2 linked regions of the Nothobranchius furzeri genome follow. The protein of the gene in region 2 interacts with the protein of the main gene of each other region in a pairwise test. Links are inferred from orthologs where the notes say so. Each region holds a gene or a part of one and is shown on either strand. Other genes may lie near its edges.

What was found. The genes of interacting proteins can lie anywhere in the genome.
Region 1: the proteins of appl1 (region 2) and ube2o interact in binary tests that used the Homo sapiens proteins (3 or more experiments, as listed by UniProt). The two-hybrid records come from large-scale screens. The link is inferred for Nothobranchius furzeri from reciprocal best matches to the Homo sapiens genes APPL1 and UBE2O.

What each region holds. Positions count from the first base shown.
Region 1 is NC_091747.1:74,405,732-74,409,385, reverse strand, and holds part of ube2o ((E3-independent) E2 ubiquitin-conjugating enzyme), read left to right. Parts: intron 1-219; coding exon 220-279; intron 280-409; coding exon 410-520; intron 521-627; coding exon 628-725; intron 726-801; coding exon 802-865; intron 866-1,217; coding exon 1,218-1,361; intron 1,362-1,502; coding exon 1,503-1,612; intron 1,613-1,705; coding exon 1,706-1,856; intron 1,857-2,970; coding exon 2,971-3,028; intron 3,029-3,226; coding exon 3,227-3,386; intron 3,387-3,552; coding exon 3,553-3,654. UniProt on the Homo sapiens protein: E2/E3 hybrid ubiquitin-protein ligase that displays both E2 and E3 ligase activities and mediates monoubiquitination of target proteins. Negatively regulates TRAF6-mediated NF-kappa-B activation independently of its E2 activity.
Region 2 is NC_091743.1:68,844,813-68,848,061, reverse strand, and holds part of appl1 (DCC-interacting protein 13-alpha), read right to left. Parts: intron 3,127-3,249; coding exon 3,085-3,126; intron 2,143-3,084; coding exon 2,084-2,142; intron 1,522-2,083; coding exon 1,375-1,521; intron 1,125-1,374; coding exon 1,042-1,124; intron 959-1,041; coding exon 797-958; intron 430-796; coding exon 241-429; intron 161-240; coding exon 118-160; intron 42-117; coding exon 1-41. UniProt on the Homo sapiens protein: Multifunctional adapter protein that binds to various membrane receptors, nuclear factors and signaling proteins to regulate many processes, such as cell proliferation, immune response, endosomal trafficking and cell metabolism.

The sequences.
Region 1 (3,654 bases), on a different chromosome or scaffold from region 2:
GTGCTGGCGCACACACTTCAGTGAGACGGCAGTATTGCACTAGGTTCCTACTGGGAGCCGAGTTGTTGCCAGGTTAATGTCCGTAGCTTCTGTCCTCTTCCTGCTGCCAGGAAACCACGTCCAGTTTGAGCTTCAGACCCTCGGCTGATTCGTTTGTAAGGAAATGACATCAGTGAGAAGTTAACCAACCTTCTCCGCCTTTTTGTCTTTTCTCCACAGCTGAAACTAGAAGATCGATCAATCGTCATCAGAGACATTGTGAGACGGAACAACTCGTGTGTAAGTGAAGTCTGACAGTCTTTGATGTTACTGAAAAATCACTAATCTTTCACTATGATGTCATCGATTCACATTGCTATTGATCATTGTGTGTGCGTGCGTGCGTGTGTGTGTGTGTGTTGTATTTCAGGACAACCAGTGTGGTATTGTGACCAACATTGACATTGAATGTGCCGTGAAGCTGGTGGGAACCAGCTGTGTTCTGTATCCAGTGAACAGCAGAGACCTGCAGCACATCTGGGTGAGACACACGCACGCACACACACACGCACGTGCGCGCACGCACGCACTGTCCTGCAGGCTCATGAATAACCTGGTGAAACTAACATGATCTTTATTTGTTTTTAGTCTTTTATGTACGGAGACTACATAGCCTATGACTTCTGGCTGGGCAAAGTGTACGACCTGACCAATCACATCATCCTCAAGCTGTCTAACGGAGCCAGGTGTGTGTGTGTGTGTGTGTGTGTGTCAGAGCGTTAGAGCATGCCAGGTCAGACTCACCATCTGCCCCCTGTCCAGGTGCTCCATGAGTGTGGAAGACGGTGCCAAGCTTTACGATGTCTGTCCACACGTCAGTGACTCGGTACGTAGCCTGAAGCTCCCGTCTTCTACTGACGTCCAGGTCTCTTTGGAGTACTTTCTCTGCTCTGTGGGGAGCAACCTGATTTAGGACGACGGATTATTTTCAGCTTCATGGTGGTGTAAACTGTAATTTTTCATTTAGCATCGAAAAATAAGTTTTTGTTAGAAGTTGTTTAGTTGGTTCTTCCTGGAAGGAGACCTGTTCTTCACTTCAGGGGAGAACAAAGCCGGAGATATTTGGATCTAAGATGTCGGTCTAAGGTTAAAGTGGTGCTCAGAACCATCCTTGACTATTCTGCTGTGGAACCATGAAGAGCTGGTCTGAGTTGTGTCTGTGCTGTTTTTATCTTTAGGGTCTGTTCTTTGACGAGGCGTACGGTTTTTACCCGGGCCAGGTCCTGATCGGTCCCGCCAAAGTCTTCTCTAATGTCCAGTGGCTGTCGGGGGTCAAACCCGTCCTGAGCAGGAAATGCAAGTTCAGAGTTGTGGTGGAGGAGGTAAATCCGCACTCATGTAACCTGACAACTCTTACTTTAACATACGTCTCCTTTTCCTCCCTGTTCAGCTTCCAGGTAGCGCCGGTTCTTATGTTTTTAATGCTGACTTGGAGACTTGTGCTCCCCCCCCCCCCCCCCCAGGTGCAGGTGGTGGAGTTAAAAGTCACCTGGATCACAAAGAGCTACTCCCCAAAAGGCTCAGATGGTGTTTACCCACCTCCCTCCACCATCGCGCAGGAAGACCTGCAGCGGTCAGTCCACTCGGTCTCATTCGGCATCCGCTTCATCAGAGTCGGACCTTTGTGGGTCCAGGCCAGCCTACTGAATGTGATGTTTGCTTCTAGGGTGAGACGTCTGGGCTACTACGACCACACGCAGAGGCAGCTGGGGGAAAGGGCCCTCTACATCTTTCCAGCCAAAGGCGACGTCACGCGCATCATCTGCGACGGACCTGAGGGTGCTCATGTTCCGCTGGAGGACCCCGTTGCTAGAAAGGTGCTGCTGACACATTTTAGATTTTTAAATATTTGTGTTCAAGATGTGGAACAGTCTGGGTACCGAATTCGGTACTTTTTAAGGTACCGACCGAATTCCATAGTACCGACCGAGCACCGATTCACGTCGTTTCAAACGGTGCCTCGTTTCGGTACCCGTCCTTCATAACGAGAACTTGCCTAGACAGCTGCGCATGCGCAAGAGCGTTATGTCATCGGTCGCTGCGAGCCAGTTGTAAACGGAGCAGCATGGTAGAAAGAACGCACGCTAACGCTTGGGTCCACTTCACTAAATGTGATGGGTAACTGGGTGATGATGAAACCAGCGACAACGATCTAAGTGAGACATCCTCATCTTAATCTGCTCCGGTAGGTAAATAAAATGTTTAAGATAGCGTTAGCTTGATATGTTAGCTTCCGTTTCACTAATGGTGCGTTCGCTTTCTCCTCGGAACTCCGATTTTTCGACTAGAACATGAACGCGCTCTAAAGTTTGGCTTCACTTTACTAAATGCGACGGGTGATTGGGTGAAGATGAAACCAGCGACAACGATCTAAGTGTGAGGCATCATCGTTTTAATCTGCTCCAGCAGTTAAATAAACTGTTTAAGATAACGTTAGCTTGATATGTTAGCTTCCATTGCCACCATTGTTATCAGCTAATGGTGCGTTCGCTTTCTCCTCGGAAATTCTAACTTCCCAGTAGGAAAAATCAAATGAAAAAAGACGGCAAAAGGAATGAAGATACACAGTAAATTTAGTTCACAGTAAAGATGTTTGCTTCAGTTTAATTATCAGCTTGTAAAACTACAAGGACAATGTTAAAATACAAACAGTTGAATGTTATTTATCGTGATATTTATCAAATATGGTTATATATTGAGAAAAATATATATTTAATTATAAAAGAGAATTAAAATGATAAACACTCAAAAGTATCTAAAATTGGTACCGTTAAGTACCGGTATCGATTCCTAGGTACCTGGAATTAGTACCGGATCGATTCAAATGTCAAAGGTACCCATCCCTAGGAACAGAAGCACGTCGATGATTTAACAATGAGACCTGGGTCCGTTTGGGTTTACAGGCTAATTTACTCTTTGTGTTTTCTGCAGCTTAAAAGGATGTTCAAGAAGGATTCTGGGAAGAAGACAGAAAACGCCGACTCAGAAGGTGTTTACAATCAGATCATGAAAGCGCTGTAGTTTTTGTTTTGTCCTCCTAACACCAGCAGCTCGTTCCTCACACACACTCGGCCGTTACAGAGGGGTGTGTGTGAAAGTTTAGCTGCAGAGTAGAGACACGTTTCCTGTCCTTATGCTGACTTTAGTGTTTGTATTTCCTTCTAATTTAAATTTTAACTGGATGAAGCAAATTCAGCAGAGCACAAGTCTGATCAGACCGACTCGTCTCAGCCCAACGGCCCGGTGAGCCCCGCTCAGAACCCGCCGGACTCTCAGAACACCAGTGATGCCGCGCACGGGGAGCAGGACGCCGATGACGAGGCTGGAGAGGACACGGACGACACCAGGTCTGTGGGGACCACTTTAAATATGGAGTCCAGTTTAGTCTGGTTTAAAAGATCTGAGCATAGGAAGCTCCTAACGTGGGGGGTGTGACCTTTTCTAACATTAAACATCAGTTATAAAGAAAAACGATGTGTGTGTGTGTGTGTGTGTGTCTGAATCTTTCTGCAGCTCTCTGACGTCCTCAGCCAGCTCCACGGCATCCTCTCAGAGCGGCGGTCTGGGAACAAACCGCAAAAAGAGCATCCCGCTCTCCATCCGCAACCTCAAGAG
Region 2 (3,249 bases):
AGGTAGATCCTCCTGGAGATGTTGTTGATGGTGGCGATCCACTGTTGGAGCAGAGATCCAGTGTGAGGAAACAACAACAATCAACACAGAGACAATGACAACAGCGAAACATCTCACCTCCTCACATTCCCTCCTGCTCTCCGCCTGCAGAGTCACCACTCTGATCCAAAGCAACGAGAAAAGATCAAACCCCAGAAATCCAAAACCTCAAAGGCAACAGAAGACACCAAGAAAACTCACTTTTTGCCATCAAAGGAAGTGACCTGAAAGCAGAACCGGCGGTCATCTGAGTCGACGGCCATGACCGAGCAGTTGTCGAGGTCTGTGACCAGTCCCCCCGCAACCTCGCCTCGACCCTGCTGCATCAGGTTCCCTCCCTGAGTGAAGAAGTATTGACGTTCCCAGGATGACGACACCAGGCCGGTCTTACTGCCACCCAAGAGCCACAACACAGTTAGACTTGTAAATAAATCGTTCACAAAGACAGAACTAAAATCCTTTAATATCATTGGTCTGATTTGTCTGTTATTGACAGAATTATTTAAAAAATTATAAGAGACATTTAAGAAATGAAAGAGTTCTTATCTATAGCAGAAAAATGACAATAATGAAATCAGAAATAAAACTGCGATCCTGCACAGAACAGGATCTAAAGTCTCCAAATACTAACAAACTGTTGCTTTAAAAGACTCTTAAATAAATGTACAAATACACTTTATCACACGATCAAATTTTTATCAATTCATATTTAACAAGGTTTAAATAGACAAAAAAAAACATTTTGCAGCTCACTCACTTGCGAATGTAGAGATATCCCTGCTTCCTAGTTAGGCTGCGGACAACAGGTGAGTGGGCGGGGTCAGGGTCGCATGGTGTATACAGAGGATCACATGACCTTTCCATCTGCTGGATGGTCTGCTGCATCTGGCCCACTTCTTCCTCCATCTCCCGACGTACACTACACACACACATATTTATTTCTGACACTTTGGTTTTTATAAGAAACTTTTCTGAGAGGTTAAAGGTCAGTTGGACGCCTACTTCTGGACGCTGGTTCCTATCGTTCCCAGGAAGTCCTCCCACTGCTGGGTGAGATTTTCTGAGCCCAGCTTAAAGAAACTGATCTGCACAGATTAAAGACACGCCAGTAGGCAGATTATTCATTCCGCCCCGCAAGTGAGCTCTCCCTATGGGTTGTGGCCTTATTACCGGTATATATAATCACATACACAGGAATCAGGATGAAATTTCACTCTTTTGCGAAAAAAAAGTTTCATAGGGAGGTAAATAAACACTCGTGTTGAATTATGGTTTCAAAACTGGTTGTTTTTTCTGACTTCTCCGGTTTAAATGAGTGTGTGTGTGTGTGTGTACCTGAGCCTGCATGTAGCCCAGCAGCGGCTCCAGCAGCGCCGTCTTCTTCTTGTACTGCAGCGTGTTCAGAGCACAGAAGTAGTGCATCATGGTCTGGTGCTGTTTCTTGCGGGAGGTGTAGAGGTCCTCCACCAACTCCGACCGCACCTGCAACAACAGCATGGTCCTCATATTTCAGGAAGACGGATAACATTATTATTTGCTGAGATAATCTTGTTTAGTAACGATAATCATGTTGCTTTCAGGTAGCTGAACCTTGGGAGAAACCTGAACCTTGAATCAAACGTGGGAAGGTCAGGAACCCCTCATCACTTCCCTCCTTTAATCCCTTTGAAATGTAGGTTTTACGTCTGTGTTGGAAGGTTTTTATAAAAACTATCTAAAAGAACTTGTTAGGCAGAAACTGAATTTGAGTGGAAGCAACACGATGGTATACGGTAACATTGAAGGGTAGGTTGGATAATTCACAAACACATAGAAATGGGTTCTATTGGCAAATAATAGTAAAATTTTTCTTTGAATTTTATAAAAATAACTTTAAATTCAAATAAAAGTTTATTTTTATTCTTTAAACATGCTTAAAAAGATGTTTTGTGTTAAATTCTGACAACGTGTGTAAAAACATCACTTATTTAAATGAAAACGTCAGGGAGAACACATTTATATATGTTTTTTTTATTTAAATAAATTATAAATCCAACTTCCCCACCTTTTCGTTGTCCTTCCTCTTAGACAGGCGACTGTATCGGTTAATGGCTGTGTCATGATCTGCAGTAAAAAAGTAAACACTTTCATTTCCACTTTTACCTTTTAGATTAAAGTCATGACTTTAGGCTCCATAAACGTGAACGCAATTACTCCATAAAGGGATAATTGGGAGAATCCCACAGACATGTTTAAACAAGAGCAGGATGACCTCAGCTGGTGAAAGTTGTTTAAACTATATTGTATAAAGTAATTCCTGTGAGGAAAATGTTGAATAATACATAGTTAAATAATTCTAAAGTAACATTTCATCCATTTATCAAAGGTGTGGAACACTGATTTATTTTATACATTTGCAGTGGTCTCTAGAAGGAATTAATACCTTGGAAGTCTTACTCTAAGGAAAAAAGCACCTGTGTGCCCTTTTCAGGAACTAGAAGTGAGCCACATCACCTGAGCTGAACACAGCAGGATCTACAGTGGTGTGAAAAACTATTTGCCCCCTTCCTGATTTCTTATTCTTTTGCATGTTTGTCACACAAAATGTTTCTGATCATCAAACACATTTAACCATTAGTCAAAGATAACACAAGTAAACACAAAATGCAGTTTTGAAATGATGGTTTTTATTATTTAGGGAGAGAACAAAATCCAAACCTTCATTGCCCTGTGTGAATAAGTAATTGTGTTAGATGGAAGTGTCCATGAATGTTTAGTGACAGTGTGACGTAGATCTGTCAGGATTTTCTAATCCTAGAGTTTCACCGTCTGTTTTCTACCAGAAGCCAAAGCAGGAGATAGGTGTAGGGGACTAATTTCATGTTCAGCCTGCATTATAATGACAAATAACCATTAAAAATGGTTTTCAGTGTTCCACACCTTTAAAGGAAACACTAAGTGGGACTATGTTTAACATAAACTGAGGTTGCCGTGTTGGATCAGTCAAAGAAGAGATGACCTCTGGGACTTCTGGGAGAGTGAGAAGACACAAACAGATGAACTCACCATCACTGGCTATCTGGAAGACTTCTTTCAGGGTCAGGATCTCTGAAGTGAAAGAAAAAATGCATAAGGGATCTTTTTCTTTTTTTTCCCTTTTTCTGCCATGTTGGCTTCTGTCTATTTTTCACAACCTTAACACAAATGATGTAACCATAGTTGTTTTTTAAA